3 linked regions of the Anolis sagrei genome follow. The protein of the gene in region 2 purifies or fractionates together with the protein of the main gene of each other region. This does not show direct contact. Links are inferred from orthologs where the notes say so. Each region holds a gene or a part of one and is shown on either strand. Other genes may lie near its edges.

Region 1 (8,012 bases), on a different chromosome or scaffold from region 2:
GGAATAGATCCCACCATGTTAAAACAGTGGATGTGGCTCTAAATGAGTCATGCTGAATTATCACAGAATGTCTATTCCCAACACCACTAGAGAAATTATACTTTTTTGCCGGTATTGCACCCCTTGATATCCGCCGGGATCAAGGCACTGACAACTCTGGCTCATCCTCTGTTCTGATATCAGGCAGCATGCCAACATCTTAAATTAAGAAACAGTTTCCTAAGATCTACAGAGATACTTGCAGGAACACCTCAGCAAGCATGACTGCAAAAGAAGCAGGCTAATACCCGGAACATCAGCCAGTGGCTGAGACCGAATGAGAAACTGCCTCCTGGGCACACAAAAGACTGGGCGACTTGGAAGGCACTGTGCTCTGGCACCACAAGATGCAGAGCCAATCTTAAGAAATGGGGCTGAGAAAAGCAAACCACTGACTACAATGCAACCTGAGCTCTGCCAAATGCACAATGGAGGATCTTCTCACAGCGACACCAGAGGCACTCCAAGTGGCTAGATTCTGCTCAAAGGAAATTTAGCAAAATGCCAAGATTTTAACTTTCTTTGTGGTTTTTATACATTATAATGAACCCCCGGTGACGCAATGGGTTAAACCTTTGTGCTGACAGGACTGAAGACCAACAGGTTGGAGGTTCGAATCCAGGGAGAGCATGGATGAGCTCCATCTGACAGCTCCAGCTCACCATTTGGGAACATGAGAGAAGCTTCCCACAAGGCTGGTAAAACATCAAAACATTTGGGTATCCCCTGGGCAACATCCTTGCAGACGGGCACTTCTCTCACACCAGAAGCGACTTGTAGTTTCTCAAGTTGCTCCTGACATGAAAAAAATTTGCTTCTGACACAATAAATAAAATTGTGTTATAAATACAGCTTTGGGGATGCAGTATGGAATTTTAATCAAGCCACTTTGAGTCCCTTTTGGGAAGGATAAAACAAGATGTAAATAAATATAATACTAATAAATTATTTTGCCAGCTTCTTATTTATTTATTTATTTATTTATATGCCGCCCTTCTCACCCCAAAGGGGACTCAGAGCGGCTTACAAGATACATATACACATACAATATATTATGCATAGTACAATATCAGTATGCTGCAAGTCGTTTGTGGAGTGAGAGAATCAGCCATCTACGAAGACGTTGCCCAGTGGATGCCCGGATGTCTTGCAATCCTGCGAGGAGGCTTCTCTCATGACCAAGGCAGTGACATCTCCAGCTCACCCACTGTTTGGGTATCAGCCAGCACTTCAACGACTTAAATCAAGAAATAGTTTTCTAAGATCAACAGCAAGCGAGAGTCCAAAACTGGCAAGTTCAAACCCAGAACCTCAGTCAATGGCTGATACTAAATGAGAAACTCCCTCCTGGGCACACAGAAAACTGGGCGACTTGGAAGGCGCTGAACAGACTGAGCTCTGGCACGAGATGCAGAGCCAACCTTAAGAAATGGGGCCACAAAGTGGAATCCACGACATGCGAGTGTGGAGAAGAGCAAACTACAGACCACCTGCTGCAATGCAACCTGAGCCCTGCCACATGCACAATGGAGGACCTTCTTATAGTAACACCAGAAGAACTTCAAGTGGCCAGCTACTGGTCAAGGGACATTTAATCAATTACCAAGCTTGCAAACTTTGTGTTTTGTTTGTTTGTCTGTTTGTTAAAAAAATGATATACAACTATCTGCACCAACTGCCGCTCTGGGCCAGAGTGAAGAGAGGGGAGGCCAGGGGACAGCACCATCTTGTCTCCTGCATTTGCCATCCGTTGGGGACCCCTCCCCCCAGCACCAACTGCCGCTCTGGGCCAGAGGGAAGAAAGAGGGGCCAGGGGACAGTTCCACCTTGTCTCCTGTGCTATTCTAATAATATGTTATAATATAATATATTGTATATACATATAATATTTATAATATTGTAATGTAATGCAATATAATACTAGTAATTGTTTTTAAATGCATAATGATTTTGTATTCTGTATATCTAAACTGTTGTAAACCGCTCTGAGTCGCCTAAGGGCTGAGAAGAGCGGTATACAAATAAAGTAAGTAAGTAAATAAATAAATCTGCTTTGCTCCTCACATGATAAATAAATATCAGTATTATATATTACTACATTATACTATACCATTATTATTAGTAGTAGTAATATTACATTTAATATAAAATATATAATTATATTATTATTGGTGTTATATTGTATTACACTTCTTGAGAGTTCCAATTAATTGGGAGGGTATTGTACTTACTTACCTATCATCCCCCTCCTGACTGGCTATCCTTTGCAGTGCGCCAACTCTACAACTTCCAGATACTAGAATACAATGCTCTCAGTCTCCCTTGTTTCCATGACATTCTCATTGGATTGTATTCTAACCACATTCAATCACAGTCGTCAGTACTAAAGAGAACGCACTGGCTCCCTTTTAAACTCCATTCTGGTGAGGCCTATCTGTGAAAATCACTCCTTACCCAGAGTTTACACTGTTATTTTCCCTCATCCCTCAACACCCCACCTCCTCCAGCCACCAATCAAGATGGGAGAAGTCCACTGAGCCAATTAGAGGGCTAAGAAAACCCTTTAAGGCCTCTCCTCCAATAAGCACGCGCCGTACTCGGGGCTTCCTCCAATCAGCGCTCAACATATTGGGGGGACACTCTGGCTAACCCAACGCCGCCCTCCCAACCCTCAACGTTCCATCCGTCCTCCCCACCAATCAGAGCGCCTTCCGCTTGCCTTCGTTCGAACCGACCTGCCGTCTCTTTCCCTCTACTCCTCCCCCTCCCCTCTCCTCGCGCCGCGCTCGGCTCAGCCAATCACAGGCCGCGCGCGCGCTCTTTGCCTCCCCCCTCCCTTCCCCGCGGGCGCGAGACCCTCCTCACCCTCTCAACGGTCACAGCGCGAGGCCTTGTTTACATCTTAAGGCGGAATCCGCCTCTGACTAGAGTTGGGAGCGAAAGGTGGGAGGTTCCAAGCCGGCTGCTCACTGATTGGCTGCGAGTCACTACCCCACGTGGGTCGGCTCGAGGCTTTTAAAAGCGTTGCGTCTCTTTGATTGGCTGCTAGGGTTCCAGGAGCGAGAAGGGGGGGGAATAAGGTTAATCGAATCTCCCATTGGACAATTCTCCAGAAAGGCGGGAGATAAGACGGAAAGCCGCTCTCTCATTGGTCGCTTCAGCTTGAGCGGCAGCCCTTCGTTGTGTAACCTCTGCCAGCTCTGCCAGGCGAGGCTACTTGGTTCTGATTGGACAGCGGCGAAGTGATTGGCAGGAGCAAGATGGGCCTTTGAGAGAAGCCTGGTGTCAGCTCAGGGCTCTGACAGGAATGGAACCAAATGAAACTTTGAGCACACATTGTGTGAAATGCCACCTCCTTCTTGACCCGAGTGTGTTTAAAGGACAGCTAAAGCTATAATGGAGAAAGGCAGGGAGTTTCAGAAAAACATCTATTTCTGCTTCATTGACTATTCTAAAGCCTTTGACTGTGTAGATCATAATAAATTGTGGCAAGTTCTTGGTGGTATGGGCATCCCAAGCCCCCTTCCCTCTCTCCTGAGGAATCTGTACAAGGACCAAGTAGCAACAGTCAGAACTGACCACGGAACAACAGACTGGTTCAAGATGGGGAAAGGCGTACGGCAAGGCTGTATGCAGAACACATCATACTATGTGCGGGGATTGATGAATGCAAAGCTGGGGTGAAAATTGCTGGAAGAAACATTAACAACCTCAGATATGCAGATGACACCACTCTGATGGCCGAAAGCGAGGAGGAGCTGAGGAACCTTCTAATCAAGGTGAAAGAAGAAAGCGCAAAAGCTGGGTTGCAGCTAAACATAAAATAAACCCAAGATTATGGCAACAAGAATGACTGACAACTGGAAAATAGAAGGAGAAAACGTGGAGACCAGGAGAAATGCCTCTAGAACATGGCCATATAGCCCGAAAAAACCCACAAGAACTGAACTTATATCCCCATACCAAAAAAGGGAAATGCGAAAGACTGCTCCAACTTCCGTACAGTGGCCCTTATTTCTCATGCCAGTAAGGTAATGCTCAAGATCCTGCAAGAAAGTCTCCAGCAAGACATGGAGAGAGAGTTGCCGGATGTTCAAGCTGGGTTTAGAAAAGGCAGAGGAACGAGAGACCAGATTGCCAATATCCGGATGCTGGAGAATGGAGAAAGGCAGGGAGTTTCAGAAAAACATCTACTTCTGCTTCATTGACTATTCTAAAGCCTTTGACTGTGTGGATCATAATAAATAGTGGCAAGTTCTTGGTGGGATGGGCATACCAAGCCCCCTTCCCTCTCTCCTGAGGAATCTGTACAAGGACCAAGGAGCAACAGTCAGAACTGACAACGGAACAACAGACTGGTTCAAGATTGGGAAAGGCGTATGGCAAGGCTGCATCCTCTCACCCAACCTTTTTAACTTGTATGCAGAACACATCATGCGAGGATGTGCGGGGCTTGAGGAATGCAAAGCTGGGGTGAAAATTGCTGGAAGAAACATTAACAACCTTAAATATGCAGATGACACCACTCTGATGGCCGAAAGCGAGGAGGAGCTGAGGAGCCTTCTAATCAAGGTGAAAGAAGAAAGCGCAAAAGCCGGGTTGCAGCTAAACATAAAAAAAACCAAGATTATGGCAACAAGAATGATTGACAACTGGAAAATAGAGGGAGAAGATATGAAGGCCGTGAGAGACTTTGTATTTCTAGGCGCAAAGATGACTGCAGATGCAGACTGTGGCCAGGAAATCAGGAGACGCTTCCTTCTTGGGAGGAGAGCAATGTCCAGTCTCAATAAAATAGTAAAGAGTAGAGACATCAGACTGGCAACAAAGATCCACCTAGTCAAAGCCATGGATGTGAGAGCTGGACCTTAGGGAAGGCTGAGCGAAGGAAGATCGATGCTTTTGAGCTGTGGTGTTGGAGGAAAGTTCTGAGAGTGCCTTGGACTGCGAGAAGATCCAACCAGTCCATCCTCCAGGAAATAAAGCCTGACTGCTCATTGGAGGAAAGGATACTAGAGACGAAGTTGAAGTACTTTGGCCACATCATGAGGAGACAGCAAAGCCTAGAGAAGACAATTATGCTGGGGAAAGTGGAAGGCAAAAGGAAGAGGGGCCAACCAAGGGCAAGATGGATAGATGGCATCCTTGAAGTGACTGGACTGACCTTGAAAGAGCTGGGGGTGGTGACGGCCGACAGGGAGCTTTGGCGTGGGCTGATCCATGAGGTCACGAAGAGTCGGAAAGGTCATTCCAGTCACTTCAAGGGTGCCATCCATCCATCTTGCCCTTGGTTGGCCCCTCTTCCTTTTTCCTTCCATTTTCCCCAGCATCATTGTCTTCTCTAAGCTTTCCTTTCTTCTCATGATGTGGCCAAAGTACTTCAGCTTTGTCTCTCCTCTTCTTCCCTTCAATGAGCAGTCGGGCTTTATTTCCTGGAGGATGGACTGGTTGGATCTTCTCGCAGTCCAAGGCACTCTTAGCACTTTCCTCCAACACCACAGCTCAAAAGCATCGATCTTCCTTCGCTCAGCCTTCCCTATGGTCCAGCTCTCACATCCGTAGGTGACTATGGGAAATACCATAACTTTAACTATGCGGGTCTTTGTTGCCAGTGTGATGTCTCTACTCTTCACTATTTTATCAAGATTGGACATTGCTCTCCTCCCAAGAAGGAAGCGGCTTCTGATTTCCTGATTTCCTGGCCACAGTCTGCATCTGCAGTCATCACCTAGAAATACAAAGTCTGTCACGGCCTCCACATTTTCTCTATTTCCCAGTTGTCAATCATTCTTGTTGCCATAATCTTGGTTTTTTTTAATGTTTAACTGCAACCCAGCTTGTGCGCATTCTTCTTTCACCTTGATTAGAGGGCTCCTCAGCTCCTCCTCGCTTTCGGCCATCAGAGTGGTGTCATCTGCATATCTGAGGTGGTTAATGAGTTTTTTCGGGCTATATGGCCATGGTCTAGAGGCATTCTCTTCTGACGTTTCGCCTGCATCTATGGCAAGCATCCTCAGAGGTAATGAGGTCTGTTGGAACTAGGCAATTGGGTTTATATATCTGTGGAATGACCAGGGTGAGACAAAGGACTATTGTCTGCTGGAGCTAGGTGTGAATGTTTCAACTGTCCACCTTGATTAGCATACAATGGCCTGACTGTGCCTGGGGCAAACCTTTGTTGAGAGGTAATTAGATGTCCCTGCCTGCTTCCTCTCTGTTATTGTGCTGTTGCAATTTTAGAGTTTTTGTTGATTTTTATGGTTTCCTCCTTTCTGTTGAAATTGTCCACATGCTTATGGATTTCAATGGCTTCTCTGTGTAGTATATCTAAGGTGGTCAGTTGAAACATTCACACCTAGCTCCAGCAGACAAGAATCCTTTGTCTCACCCTGGTCATTCCACAGATATATAAACCCTTTTTCCTAGTTCCAACAGACCTCACTACCTCTAAGGATGCTTGCCATAGATGCAGGCGAAACGTCAGGAGAGAATGCCTCTAGACCATGGCCATATAGCCCGGAAAAACCTACAACAACCCAGGATTCCGGCCATGAGAGTCTTCGACAATAAGGTTGTTAATGTTTCTTCCAGCAATTTTCAGCCTAGCCTTGCATTCCTCAAGCCCCGCACATCACATGATGTGTTCTGCATACAAGTTGAATAGGTTGGGGGAGAGTATATAACTATATATAACTATATATAAGCATTAGATATATAAGCATTATATATTACTATATTCTACTATACCACTATACTGTAATATTACATGGAATATATATCATTATTATTATTATTATATTGTATTATTAGGAATAGTAGTATATTACATTATAATATTATCAATGTTATATGTATATACAACATATTATATTATTAGCATAGCACAATATTAGTATTATATAGTGTTGCTGGGAGGAGGGGCCCGTAACTGGTGGTACAGGAGACAAGGTGGAACTGTCTTCCTGGCTTCCTCTCTTCTCTCTGGCCTCAGAGCGGCAGTTGGCTTTAGAATTAGCTTGTTGTTGTTCATTCGTTCAGTCGTCTCCGACTCTTTGTAACCTCATGGACCAGCCCATGCTAGAGCTCCCTGTCGGCTGTCACCACCCCCAGCTCCTTCAAGGTCAGTCCAGTCACTTCAATGATGCCATCCATCCATCTTGCCCTTGGTCGGCCTTTTTACTTTGTTCTTTCACCTTGGTTAGAAGGCTCCTCAGCTCCTCCTCACTTTCGGCCATCAAAGTGGTGTCATTTGCATATCTAAGGTTGTTAATGTTTCTTCCAGCAATTTTTACCTCAGCCTTGCATTCATCAAACGAATATAGTAATATATAATGCTAATTTTGTGCTATGTTAATATGATATATTGAGTGTAGAAATAACTTGCAAGCTGCTCTGAGTCGCTTCAGAGTGAGAGAGGGTGAGGTATAAATGTAGTATATAAGTAACTAAATAATTCCTTTTTAATGAAACAAATCATTTTTAAGTATAGCTATGTCTCTTAAGGACTTGCATTGGAAAAACAGTGGGATATTAATCAAATAGGTAAATAACGCAAAAAAGAGTTATGAATGGGATGATTTTAAAATTGTGAATTCCTTTTTATTATTAGTAGGGTTTATTTTTTCTACATTTACTTTATTTGAACTTTTTATTGTGTCTAATGGTAGAATATATTTTATGTACATATATATCAGGCTTGGGGAAACTTGGGCCCTCCAAGTGTTTTGGATTTCAACTCCCACAATTCCTAACAATTTCAGAAATTGTGGGAGTTGAAGTCCAAAACACCTGGGGGCCCCAGTTTCCCCATGCCTGATATATATGGATGTGCATATGTGTATAAATTAGTATATAATATAAAGCTGGATTAGTCATTCTACCATTAGAGATAAGTTACAACAAAGTAAATATCGCAAATAAATGCTTATTCTCAAAATAAATAGACCCCTATTTTTCAAATTCTGAGTTTTTTA
Region 2 (7,102 bases):
AATGGCAACAATTCTTACCGCTTACTTTTCCCCAGCTTGTCCCAAAGCCTGTGCTTCCAAAATTTTTCATTTCATTGCTAATGAAATAAAACTTTTCTTCTCACCGTTTTAAGGCACAGAATTTTCAAATATGAGCAACAAATGAATTTTATGAGCCAGTCCCATGAACCACACTAGTGGACTGTACTTGTAACTGTGGTGAAAAATACATTATTTATCTGGGCCTAGAGTTAATATGATGAAGTGCTCTTCCATATAATAAAACAAATTCTCTGTACATATAATACTAGATAAGGATATCCTAGCTTACTGTGGGCAGAACTTCTGTTGCTGAATGATGGCACAAAACACAGTACTTTAACCTTTCACCTGAAGTCTAGATTGGTGCAACCCAAAGAAATATCTACATCCTGGTGAAAATTGTTGCACACGTACGATTCCAAATTCCTCATGGTAGCACAACACTCTGGTGTGAGAGATGCTGCATTTTAACTGGTGAAGTGCAATGTTTATATATATTCTACGATGTTTATATGTATAATGTTTTAATGGTTTAAATCATGTTTATGTGTTTATTGATTTTAATTAATCATACTATGTATCGCTCTGAATTTTGCCAAATTGTAAGCCGCTCTGAGTCCCCCCCGGGAATGGTGCAATGTTAATTTTCCTCTATGTTTTAGGTGATTGTGTTTTTATGCATAGCGTTTTAAGGGTTTAATTCATGTTTATATGTTATTGATTTTGGTTAATGTTATGTATTGCTTTTATATGTATATTGGCATGTTGTACACTGCTCAGAGAGACAGCAGTATAGAAATGCAGTAAATAAATAAATATAGTAAATAAATAAGAAACATTGTGTGCTGGACTAAATGGATTCCTGCTCAGTCAGACAGCTTACTAGGCGACCTTGTACCAATTCCTCGCAGGTTTGTTTTGAAGAGGAAGAAGCAGGGAACCATATACATCAATTCAAGCCATTTGGAAGAACAATGGAATAAAAGTGCAATGACCCATAATTTGTCTAGGTTTTTAAGGTCAAAAGGTTCAAAAGCAACATACTCATCCCCCCCCCCCCCCCCATAACACAACTTTGATTTCGCTGTTAGTTACATAAACACAGGATGCTTCCGGCTTTGAAAAATTATTTGGGAGAATAATGTGCGAGGCTTATGACAATGGTTCCTCAACTTTCTCCTTTCAACACTGACATCAGCTGAAATCCTGAGTAATGCAAACTAATACCTTACCCTCAAACACATTGTTCTTCCTCTGCCTATCAGCATAGATGCTGAGAGAAATGTCTCTGCTCTTACTGGTGTCCTTCAAGAATAACTGAAGTCTTCCTAAAGACCTCAATAACATTGTTTTCATTGTTGCTGACTCATGACATTTCTCCAGTGGTTATGAGAAAAGGCCCCTAACCCTTCTTCATTAATGCTAATAGACCTTGTAACAGGAAGCCAATGAGAAAACTAATCAAACTGTGCAGGCACAAACAAACTTCATACCTCCAAGTGTATTAGACTTCAAACATCTGGAGGGCCGAAGTCTGCCCATGCCTGGTTTAGAAACATGTTTGCCCAAATAAGGCCCTTTGCTCTGGGAAACAATTTAGTGTGGCCTTTTATAACATCAAAGCATTAAGGCAGTCTTAAAAGGCAGAACTGGGGTTGCTCAGACTCAGGGAAACCCCCAATCCCTCCAGCCGCCTTCCAGGAATTATACAGATTTGGCCCCTGAGGGCCGGTCAGGGCTCACCTCTCGGACGTTGGGCATGTCAAGCAGCTCTCCAAAAACATAGATGCCAGGGGCCTCCAGCACTTGGTGGATGAGGCTGGCCAAGGCTGCTCCCCGGGCAGACTTTGCCAGCAGCAGGAACTGCTCCTGGTTCTGCCCCGTCACTTTTACTTCCACTTCGGCTGCCATGGAGTCGCCCCGCATTCTGCTCCAGGGCCAGGACACAGGCCCGCCGCCTGAAGGATGGATGGAAGGAGCAAGCAAGTATCACCAGCAGAGCTTTTCCAGCAGGCTCTTCCGGCAGGCTTGCCCAGTCAATTTTAAAACTCAGTTTTAAATTTACATTCTATTACTATTGTACTTTATCTTTTGTACCATGTATTTTAATATATACATTTTATTTTGCATATTTTTATAGGTGTTTTAACTGTGTTGTCGTCATCCCCCGTTCCCCGTCCCCCCCAATTGAACCTGATATGAGCTGAAACTGGCTGTAACACACTGACGGATTCCAGCATCCCCTCACAAGTGGTAGAACCGGTCTCCTAAACATCACATTCTAACCAGACTGTGGTATATCTACCCCACTAAAGAAACACTATGTAACACGATTTTTGTTCCTGGATAATAAATGTCATTTCCTGATTTGTTCTATCATAACAATATGGGAAAAGTTTATTAAACTGCAAAAATTGTGTTTTTGCGGGGCATCCTGCAGCACGTTTTGCTATAATTTTTCAATTAATATCTGACCAAATCTCAAATAATTCAACAGTTTGTGGTAGCCATAAAAACAAAGTTTCTGGAGTATATCAACTACTTTCAAAGTAAGTATCACATAATTACAAATAAAGTAATTAGTAAAGCGGTATACAAATAAATAAATAAATAAACAGGAAATAACACTTTCAAACCAGGAACAGATCAAACTTTCAAAAATGTACCCAATCACTTCGGTCCAGAGCTTGGTAACTGGTGTCTTAGAGCAACAAAGTAGGCCTCGGGGAACTCTGCGGGCCGAGCCCCCCAAATCGAGGCAGGCCCCTCATTCCCCGTGACACACAGAACATTCCAGGCTGCACATACAGCCCAGAGAGGCGGCTAGCGCCCCAAATGCGCGTTTGCGGGTGGGTGAAGGGGCCGAGGCCCTCTGGCGCCCTACCTGAGGGGTTCCCGCCCGGACCCGCCACGGTTGCTGTCACCGCCACCCCTCTCGCCGGGAGACAGACCACTTCCGGGTTGGTGCCGTCACAGCTACCCCGCAGGCACCGCCTCCTAGTCTTCTCATTGGCTGGCAGCGCCTGACAGACATCCCGCGCGCGGCTTTGAGGCGCCTCTAGGAGGCGGGGCTTGACGGCTTCCGCCCAGGAAGGCGCCCCGCCCCGCCCCCTTCGAGGCTCCTCCCCCTTCGAGGCTGTTGCTTCTGTTTACAGCCAGTACTTCCTCCATTTAACCATAGCAACAGCAAGTGGTCTGCTGCGAAGGGAGTCGATGTCCTGAAATGCTACCTGTATATGGTCCCCTATTGTCCAGTTATCTCTCTCAGTGTCAATTATACTGTTGGTAGCCATCCTCAACTACCAATTTTCTTTACGCCAGGCCACCTCAGGCTGTGGCCCTCCAGCTCTTTGGGCCTCCCAACTCCCAGCTTGTTCAGTAGCCAGGGATTCTGGGAATTGGAGGCCCAAAAAACTGGAGGGCCACAGTTTGATGATATTCCTGCTTAAGGCCTTTCTTAAGAAACCTGCCTTCACTCTCTTCCAGAAATAAAGCTTTATAGGTGGGTCATGAAAGCAACACTTCACTGAATAAGGAGAAAATAGGCCGAGGATCCTACTGTACACGAAACGCTGTGAAATAATACGGTGTTATCTGTATGCAGATTACGTCTAAACCTGTCACTCCTTCCCACCTGTTATTAAGGTGGCTGTCCAGACCTTGAACCGGTGCGTGGCCGCTGGGTCGTATTGGATGAGGGCTAACAAATTGAAATTGAATCCAGACAAGACAGAGGTTCTCTTGGTCAGTAGAAAGGCCGAACAGGGCATAGGGTTACAGCCTGTGCTGGATGGGGTTACACTTCCCCAGAAGACGCAGGTTCGCAGCTTGGGATAGATCCTGGACTCATCGCTGAGCCTGGAAACAGAGAAAAACTTGTGCGCCAGCTGTGCCTGTACCTTAGGAAGTCTGATCTGGCTATGGTTGTCCACGCTCTAGTTACATCCCGAATAGATTACTGCAACGTGCTCTACATGGGGCTGCCTTTGAAGACAGCTCGGAAACTCGAGCTAGTCCAACAGGAGGCAGCCAGATTACTAACTGGGGCAACATACAGGGAACATATCACCCCCCTACTATGCCAGCTCCACTGGCTGCTGGTCCACCTCCGAGCCCAATTCAAAGTTCTGGTTTTGACCTATAAAGCTCTATATGTTTCTGACCCAGTTTACTTGTCCGAACGCATCTGCCTTTATGTCCCATCCTGCAATCTAAGATTGTCCAGGGAGGCCCTGCTCTCGCTTCTGTCAACATCGCAAACGCGTTTGGCGGGAACAAGAGACAGAGCCTTCTCAGCTGTGGCCCCCCCCCCACCTATGGAATGCACTCCCAAATGAAACTGATTGAAGATTGATTCCATCCCTCCTGGCTTTCAGGAAAAAAAAAAATTAAAATTGTGGTTTTGGGACCAGGCCTTTGGGCAGCAGACGTAATTTACACCTTAGTGGACTTTGACTGGAATGGCGTTGTGGCAGATGACATTGTCATTTTGTTTTACTGTTTTAATTAATGCTATATGTACTGGTTTTAATTACTGTTTTTGTATTTGATTGTGTTTATATTATTGTAATTGTGATGTAGCGGCCTTGCACCGTTACTAATGTAAGCCGTCTTGAGTCCCCCTTCAGGGGTAGAAAAGAGACGGGGTATAAATATCATAAATGAATGAATAAATAAATAAATAATTTCTTACCACCTCTCCCTATGGCTTAAGGTGGTCATGATTTTCATATCTGGACTTGGAGAATGGAGACGGCGGTCAAGAAAGAAGATGACTAGGACTTGGGTGGGCAGCTATAAAGAAACTTGACAACTTGACGCCTTGGAGGTGTCTACAGACAATGCCAGCTCTTCGACTTAGAAATCGATATGAGCATCACCCCCCAGAGTTGGACATGACTAGACTTAATGTCAAGGGGAAACCTTTACATATGTGTGTGTGTAAAACTTGTCCATGCCAATGTACTTCCAATTTCTATATATGGTTGTGAAAGTTGACCAGCGAGTAGAACAGATAAAAAGAGAAAGTCAATTCATTTGAAATATGGTGCTGGAAAAGGGTTATGGATACAGTTATGGACAGTTAAATGCACTAATAAATGGGTCCTAAAGCAAATCAAGCCTGAATCGACACTGATGTAAATTGTGTCCAATATTATGAGAAGACATGACTCACTGGAAATGACTAATCCTCAATAAAATCAAAGGTGGTAGGAAAAGAGGAAAACCACATTCCAGGTGGATAGACTCAAACAAGGAAGCTACAACCCGAGTCTCTTAATAGTTAATAAGCATAAGGTGGTATAGGGACAAAGGAAAATAGAAGGTAGTCATATTCTGTGTACCATAGGAGTTTCTTTACGTGGTTGAGAAAACTGGACAGCAAAGAGACCTGCAGGGAAGAACATTAATTCATTTGAAACTTGGTGCTGAAAGTCAGTTTTACAGATATCGCAGAGTGCCAGAAGAATTAAGTGGGTCTAAAAGCAAATTAAGTCTGCATTCTCTCTAGAACCCAAAGGGACTGACAAAAGTATCATACTCCTCATAAGATGAGATGATACATTGGAAAAGATGATACTTGGAAAAATATAAGGTAGGACAAAAGGAAGATCACTTGATGCCAAACAACAACGTACACTTGAGGGGTTTGTCCCAGAATATCATAAAGTTAATCTCAAAAGAAGTACCAAGAGGAAATGGATGAAAAAAACTCTCTCTCTTCATGAAGCCAAAAACACCAGGAATACAAACACAAGAAATCAACTAACCCAAAGTTCCTCAAAGTGGACAAGAGCAAGCAGAAGTCTTCCAAAGCGGACAAGAACATGAGGGCAACTGCTCTCTTGAAGCCCTAAACTCCTGTCCTCTGGTTCTAGCACTCCCTCTGGCACTAGCTCGTAACTCAAAACACTGCTCATATGTCAAAGCAAAACCTGGGCTGAGCAACCTTTCTTACCTCAAAACCTTCTTAAGTAGGGCCACTCTTAAGTTGAGATTCCACTATATATAAGTCATCATATCCAGAATGCAGTCGTCCTACTCAGTGTGTTTACAGTATTGTAAAAGTCCCAAATAAGTAATATAACCAAAGCTACAGTAACCATTTTATATGTTATTATTCCTGACAGGAGTTTTTATCTAATCAATCAGAAGTGTCAGTCTATTACCTTATTATCCTTATTGATACCTCAGGTTTTCATTTGCTACATGGCAAAGCAGCCTTTAAGATTTTTTTTTTTTTTGGTCGTGTCAGGAGTGACTCCTGGTGTGAGAGAATTGGCCATCTGCAAGGACATTGCTCAGGGGACGCCTGGATGATTTGATGTTTTTATCATCCTTGTGGGAGGCTTCTCTCATGTCCCCGCATGAGGAGCTGGAGCTGATAGAGGGAGCTCATCCGCCTCTCCCCGGATTCGAACCTGCGACCTGTCGGTCTTCAGTCCTGCCGGCACAGAGGTTTAACCCACTGCACCACTGGGGGCTCCTAACCTTTAAGATGATGGGGACACACACTAACAAAGCATGTTTAATTAAAAAGTACTTCTTAAAAAGTAACTTTCCAAAAGTGTCGCTCCTGCCCCACCTCCCAATCTGCCTCTCTTCCTCCCCAGCCTTTAAGATGATGGGGAGGAAGAGAGGCAGATTGGGAGGTGGGGCAGGAGCGACACTTTTGGAAAGTTACTTTTTAAGAAGTACTTTTTAATTAAACATGCTACTTGCTCTACAATTCTTCCCACATTATTTGTTAGTGTGTGCTTTGCAATTGTTATAAAATGACTCATTATATTATTTGGAACATTTCACTGTTTCTCCTTTCATTTAAAAGGATCCCTTAGGATTGAAGATAATGACGCAACACTTGAAAAGCTCTTATCAAAATGTCTCCAACATGCTTAAGAAGTTTTTAAGAAGAAGTTGTTGTTATGTAATAGAGAAAACAATATGACTCCCATGCATAACCATTTTCAAATGGCAAGTTGCTATTCCCTGTTGGAGGTAACATCACTACTTGTAGCATGCTCTTTCCATGTTGTGGAAAGATTTGTGGTATGTGTAAGGATGTATATGTGTGTACATA
Region 3 (6,864 bases), on a different chromosome or scaffold from region 2:
AGGTCTTGACATTGGGAATTTCCAACAAATCTTGGTCCTCAGAATGGAGGGATCTCTGGGGTTGGTAGGGGGTGTGGCGGTTCCTCAGGTACATCAGCCCCCGACCATGCAAGGCCTTAAAGGTAAGTACCATCACTTTGAAAGTGATCCGGTGCTCAATTGGTAACCAATGCAGCTGCAGTAAGATTGGTGTTATGTGGCATCTCATCGGAATTGTTGTCCATGAGAACTCCAAGATCTTTTTCACACATACTGCTCTCAAGCTAGGCGTCCCCCATTCTGTATCTTTGCATTTCATTTTTTCTCCCTAAGTGGAGTATCTTGCATTTGTCCCTGTTGAATTTCATTTTGTTAGTTTTGGCCCATCTCTCTAATCTGTTAAGATCATTTTGAATTCTCCTGTCCTCTGGAGTACTGGCTATCCCTCCCAATTTGGTGTCATCTCAAAACTTAATGATCCTGCCTTCTAACCCTTCGTCTAAGTCATTAATAAAGATGTTGAACAGGGCCCAGGACAGAGCCCTGCTTGTGGCACTTCGCTTGTCACTTCTTTCCAGGATGAAGAGGAAGCATTGGTGAGCACCCTCTGGGTTCGTCCGCTTAACCAATTACTGGTCCACCTCACCGTAGTTTTGCCTAGCCCGCATTGGACTAGTTTGTTTGCCAGAAGGTCATGGGGGACCTTGTCGAAGGCTTTACTGAAATCCAGGTACGCTACATCCATGGCATTCCCCACATCTGCCCAGCTTGTAACTCTATCGAAAAAAGAGATCGGATTAGTCTGGCATGACTTGTTTTTGCTAAATCCGTGTTGACTATTAGTGAACTCTCATGTTTCCACAGCACTGAGCCATGCCAATCAAAGTTGTATCATACAACACTATTATTTGACTGACACAAAAACACAGTATGTCACAGCAAATGAGAGATATATGCTGCATTATTATTATTATTATTATTATTATTATTATTATTATTATTTCTTACCCTCCTCTCCTCATGGCTTGAGGTGGGTTACAACATTGTTAAACCATACTTTCATCTAAAAACATTCTTTAAAATACCCATATTAAAACTTGTCTTAAGAAGGAGCCCCTGGTGGCGCAGTGGGTTCGAATCCGGGGAGAGGCGGATGAGTTCCCTCTATCAGCTCCAGTTTCTCATACGGGGTCATGAGAGAAGCCTCCCACAAGGATGATAAAAACATCAAATCATCCGGGTGTCCTTGAAGACTGACAATTCTCTCACACCAGAAGCGACTTGCAGTTTCTCAAGTCACTCCTGACATGACAAAAAAAAATCAGGTGCCTAAAGCAGATCGCTGTCATTTCCCTGCAACCAGCTCTCCATTTCTCCTTCCTCCAGCTCAACCTCTTCGGCAGGGAGATGGGCGGGAACTAAAGCCGTTGCTGTTGCAGTGGAGGCCTTCCCTTTTGCAACTTTGGGAGCAGGTGATGGTTTTTGGCTGGGGGGTTTATCACCCATGATCAGGCTTGTTCCTTTTGGGCATTCTGCCACCACCGGCCCTCGCACCCACATGTGAAGCATGTCCCTCGCCTTCCCTTCCTCTCTCTGCTCATCGACCAGCCTCTTGGGGAAGGGTGTCACATCCCTCCGGCTTGACCCACCGCTGGATGCCTGGTACGGCCCTCCTCTCTGGAACGACGCGGCATCTGCTCTTTGTTGTATTTCACTCTCCTGGCCAACATAATCCAATTGTCTAAGTTGTCTGGATTGCCAGGATACGGAAGAAAATGTTTTTAAGTACAAGAGGGAACTTTCTTACACAGGATGCTTGTGGTTAACTTCAAATGTTGTTTTTGAAGCGCAGAGGCTGCATATACAAGAAGGTACTTTCCATCAAAAAGTCAAGAGAGGGGGGTGGAAAGGGAGTACTTTTCCATGACAAAAAATGTTCTTGTTTACTTGAGGTTATATATTTGGTGGTCAAAAGCCAAGGGGGCACGGCAGTCATTTGAAGGGTAGCATCTGCGCATGCTGCCCGGCTGTCCGTCTTCTTCATGAAGAAACTAAAATAAAACCTTGTTTTTTAATCTTTCATTGGGACTGTCTTCTTCCTTCCGTGCTCCTGCAACGTGGACCTAAAACGACCCAATTTAGGGTTTCTAACACTACAAAGCGTAGAGCTTTTTCGACCTATGCTCCAATTCTGTGGAACTCATTGCCTCCATACATTAGAGCAATGTCGGAGTTGCGACCTTTTGTAAAGGCACACAAGACTTGGTTGGTTGTGCATTTAAGTAATCAGATCTAATTTGCCAAATAGTCACTGTTGTATGTTTTTATGTTGAATGTTTTTATATTGTGTAAATGCTATTTTAGATTGTAAGTCGCTCGGAGCCCCTTGGTGGAGAACGACTAATTAAGAAATAAAGTGAAGTGAAGTGAAGTCACAGTGAATTCTATAGTACAGGGGTCCTCAAACTAAGGCCTGGGGGCTAAATACGACCCTCCAAGGTCATTTACCTGTTCCTCGCTCAGAGTCAATCTAAGTCTGAAACGACTTGAAAGCACACAATAACAACAATCCTATCTCATCAGCCAAAAGCAGGTCCACACTTCTCATTGAAATACTAATAAGCTTATATTTGTTAAAATTGTTCTTCATTTTAATTATTATATTAATTTTACGTGTTTTTTGCATTACAGTTAATATATGTGCACTGTACATATGAATTCACTCATGTTTTTTTTTTCAAATTATAATCCGGCCCTCCAAGTTTGAGGGACTGAGGGAGACTGAGGGTCTGGAGAACAAGCCTATGAGGAGCGGCTTAAGGAGCTGGGCATGTTTAGCCTGAAGAAGAGAAGGCTGAGAGGAGATATGATAGCCATGTATAAATATGTGAGAGGAAGCCACATGGAGGAGGGAGCAAGCTTGTTTTCTGCTTCCCTGAAGACTAGGACATGAAACAATGGCTTCAAACTACAAGAGAAGAGATTTCATCTGAACATAAGGAAGAACTTCCTGACTGTGAGAGCCGTTCAGCAGTGGAACTCTCTGCCCCGGAGTGTGGTGGAGGCTCCTTCTTTGGAAGCTTTTAAACAGAGGCTGGATAGCCATCTGTCAGGGGTGATTTGAATGCAATATTCCTGCTTCTTGGCAGGGGGTTGGACTGGATGGCCCATGAGGTCTCTTCCAACTCTTTGATTCTATGATTCTATGTGTCCAGAGGAGGGTGACTAAAATGATCAAGGGTCTGGAGAACAAGCCTATGAGGAGCGGCTTGAGGCTCATGTTTAGCCTGAAGAAGAGAAGGCTGAGAGGAGATATGATAGCCATGTATAAATATGTGAGAGGAAGCCACGGGGAGGAGGGAGCAAGCTTGTTTTCTGCTTCCTTGGAGACTAGAACGCGGAACAATGGCTTCAAACTACAAGAGAGGAGATTCCATCTGAACATGAGGAAGAACTTCCTGACTGTGAGAGCCGTTCAGCAGTGGAACTCTCTGCCCCGGAGTGTGGTGGAGGCTCCTTCTTTGGAAGCTTTTAAGCAGAGGCTGGATGGCCATCTGTCAGGGATGCTTTGAATGCAATATTCCTGCTTCTTGGCAGGGGGTTGGACTGGATGGCCCATGAGGTCTCTTCCAACCCTTTGATTCTATGATTCTATGACTGTGACCTGGCCCTCTGTTTAAAAAGTTTGTGGACCCCTGCTATTTTAGATGCACTATCAACCGGCTAAAACTTTAAATGCGGGTCACGCGGCATTCTTCCCTTTTTCTATCTCTATGGTCCTGAGCGTTCTCCTAAAGCGGGACCCGCTCGTCACAAACTGGCGAATCGCTGGAGAGGATTGGGGAGACGTCACCACGGTGAGGCCGGAAGTACGTAGCAGCGTGCGGTGGTCCCACCTCCGTCTCCAGGAAGCACCCGTCTTCCCGCTTCATCGGCGGGAGTGGGACAGGGTGCGAAGATGCCAGTGGCCGTGATGGCGGCGGCGGCGAGTGGCGCCTTCAGCTACCGGAAGCTGCTGGAGCAATGCGAGACTCAGGAGCTGGAGGTCAGGAAGGGAACCGGGCGTGGAATAGGCTTTCCTCGCCTCTCGCTTTCGAGTCTGGGACGGGGCCCTCCTCGTCACCCTCACAAACCCAGGGTTTGACCGTCTCGCCTGAAAGCCGGGGTTTCCCTAGGCCGAAGGAGCAAAGTGGGAATGAATGGGCCGCCCTCACCAGTTCCTCTATGGACACATGCTAGAATGAGTGCGGTTGGCTACCATGGCTTAATTCTGGGACGCATGGAAGTGGTAGTTCTACAAGGCCTTTTAGCCTCCTCTGCCGAGTGTTTCAATAAACTACAAACACTGTGATTCCAGAGCATTCAGCCATGTGGTGTCCCCTTCACTGCTATATAATCCACATTATCAAAGCAGATAGTCCACAATATTTGCTTCGATTATATGAGTCTACATTGCTAAATAATCCAGTTCAAAGAAGATAGTCTGGATTTATATGGTATTTATTTATTATTATTTGTCGTGTCAGTGCAACCAATCAATTATATTACATTTCTAACATAACAAAGCAAACAAACAGACAAAATACAAAATTTGTGAGTTTGGTAGTTGATTAAATGTCCTTTGACCAGTATCTGGCCACTTGAAGTGCTTCTGGTGTTGCTGCAAGAAGGTCCTCCATTGTGCATGTGGCAGGGCTCACGGTGCATCACAGCAGGTGGTCAGTGGTTTGCTCCTCTCCACACTCGCATGTCGTGGATTCCACTTTGTAGCCCCATTTCTGAAGGTTGGTTCTGCATCTCGTGGTGCCAGAGTGCAGTCTGTTCAGCGCCTTCCAAGTCGCCCAGTTTTCTGTGTTCCCAGGGGGGAGTCTCTCATTTGGTATCAGCCATCGGTTGAGGTTCTGGGTTTGAGCCTGCCACTTTTGGACTATCGCTTGCTGAGGTGTTCCAGCGAGTGTCTCTGTAGATCTTGGAAAACTATTTCTTGATTTAAGTCGTTGACGTGCTGGCTGATACCCAAACAGGGGATGAGCTGGAGATGTCTCTGCCTTGGTCCTTTCACTATTGGCTGCTACTTCCCGGCAGATGTCAGGTGGTGCAATACCAGCTAAGCAGTGTAATTTCTCCAGTGGTGTAGGGCGCAGACACCCCATGATAATACGGCATGTCTCATTAAGAGCCACATTTTATATGGTAGTGTATAAACTTTCTCAAACTGCATTCCTTCCACAGTATGGATGCACCTATAGTTTTTAAAACACAGTTGCCGTGATTTCAAAGAAATTCATATGAATGAAGAGCAGCGTTTCTCAAACTAGCTCTGCTCTTCCAGGTCTTTTGGACTTCAGATCTCAAAAATGCTAACAGTTTACCAGCTGTTAGGAATTGTGGGATCTGAAGTCCAAAACATCTGGAGGAATACAGTTTGAGAAACTCAGATTAGAGAAAAACATCTCATGAGATGTGATCTTCTTGGTATTTGTATAGCTGTGCCCTGCCACGCGTTGCTGTGGCCTATAGTAAAACTTATCAAAGTTGAGGTAGATATCTGGACTATTATGAAAGAGAGGTCCCTACCTATTCCTTCCCCCTTTTCCTCCCCCTTTCTCTCCTTTCTTCCTTCTCTACCTCTTTCTTTCTTTCACTACTTGGTTTCATCCTTCTCTCTTTCCTTCATTCCCTCCCCCTTTCTTCCTTTGCCTTTCTTCCCTCCCTGTTTGCTTCCTTCTTTCACTTTTTATTTCCTTTTATTTCACCAGCATCATAACAATAACAATAATGCAATGCATTGCCTCCGGGACCTGACACCTCTCCCATTCCCCCTAAAAGGGTCTCATAGGAATAATAGCATCATAATAATCATAGAAATAACAACCTTTACCCGCCACGTGTTGCTGTGACCAACCTTCCCTCTTTCTCTCCTTCTTTCCCTCCTTCCTTCCTTCCCTCCCATCTTTCCTTCTCCTCTTCCTTCTCTATCTCCTTCCTTCCCCCTTTTTCTTTCTCTTCTGGCCTCTTTCCTTCCTTCTCTCTTTCCTTCTTTCCTTCCCTCCCTCTTTCTCTACATCTTCCCCCTTCCTTCACTCCCTCTTTCCTTCCTTCATTCCCTTTTTTCTTTCCTTCTCTCCTTCCTTCCTTCCCCCTTTTTCTTTCCCTCCCTCTGTCTCTCATTTCTTCCTTCTCTACCTCTTTCCTTCCTTCCCCCTTTTTCTTTCTCTTCTGCTGTCTCTCTTTTCTTTCCTTCCATCTTTCCTTTTCTTCTTCCTTCTTTCTCTAACTTTCCTTCCTTCCCCCTTTTCTTTATCTCCCTTTCTCTTTCTTCCTTCTTTCCTTCCTTCCTGTCTTTCCTGGATTTTGACAGGGCGGGAAGGGGTGCGGTGGGGTTTGGAGGTGGCATGAAGTAAAAGGAGGTAAGATTGGGGCAGGCGAGTGATGGAGCGTGAGGTTGTGTGTGTGTGTGCGGCAGCGGGGGGAGTGATGGAGCGTGGGGTTGCGTGTGTGTGTGCGGCAGCGGGGGGGAGTGGGGTTGCGCGTGTGTGTGTGGCGGTGGGGGAGTGATGGAGCGTGGGGTTGCGTGTGTGTGTGCGGCGGGGGAGTGATGGAGCGTGGGGTTGTGTGTGTGCGTGCGGCGGGGGTGTGTGTGCGGGAAGCGGCGCGGCGGGGCTTGGAGTGGGCATGGCTTCCGCAGAGGGAACTGTGTGCGCGCGCCAGGGAACTTGCGGCTGGGCACCAATGCGCATGCTCAGTTGTTTTGCCATTTTGTGAGTGTGTTGTTGTGTTGTTTTTCATTTTGAGTAGATATGTTTGTACCTTATGGGTTGTGTTATGGGCATGGGAATTTTGGTTAAGTTTCGTTGGGGGGTTTGTGAGTTTTGTTGATTTGCC

What was found. Proteins that work in one complex are often made in the same cells at the same time.
Region 1: the proteins of COPS7A (region 2) and DCAF11 purify together in Homo sapiens (affinity purification with mass spectrometry; 3 studies listed by BioGRID and IntAct, counting the BioPlex papers as one, with this or other methods). This does not show direct contact. The link is inferred for Anolis sagrei from reciprocal best matches to the Homo sapiens genes COPS7A and DCAF11.
Region 3: the proteins of COPS7A (region 2) and COPS8 purify together in Homo sapiens (affinity purification with mass spectrometry; 11 studies listed by BioGRID and IntAct, counting the BioPlex papers as one, with this or other methods). This does not show direct contact. The link is inferred for Anolis sagrei from reciprocal best matches to the Homo sapiens genes COPS7A and COPS8.

What each region holds. Positions count from the first base shown.
Region 1 is NC_090026.1:8,259,128-8,267,139, forward strand, and holds the start of DCAF11 (DDB1- and CUL4-associated factor 11), read right to left. Parts: upstream 3,013-8,012; 5' UTR 2,905-3,012; intron 2,570-2,904; exon of another isoform or gene 2,494-2,569; intron 2,484-2,493; exon of another isoform or gene 2,275-2,483; intron 1-2,274. UniProt on the Homo sapiens protein: May function as a substrate receptor for CUL4-DDB1 E3 ubiquitin-protein ligase complex.
Region 2 is NC_090022.1:197,717,294-197,724,395, reverse strand, and holds the start of COPS7A (COP9 signalosome complex subunit 7a), read right to left. Parts: upstream 3,015-7,102; 5' UTR 2,906-3,014; intron 1,980-2,905; 5' UTR 1,948-1,979; coding exon 1,765-1,947; intron 1-1,764.
Region 3 is NC_090021.1:163,149,364-163,156,227, forward strand, and holds the start of COPS8 (COP9 signalosome complex subunit 8), read left to right. Parts: upstream 1-3,852; 5' UTR 3,853-3,937; coding exon 3,938-4,024; intron 4,025-4,265; exon of another isoform or gene 4,266-4,472; coding exon of another isoform or gene 4,473-4,475; intron 4,476-6,864. UniProt on the Homo sapiens protein: Component of the COP9 signalosome complex (CSN), a complex involved in various cellular and developmental processes.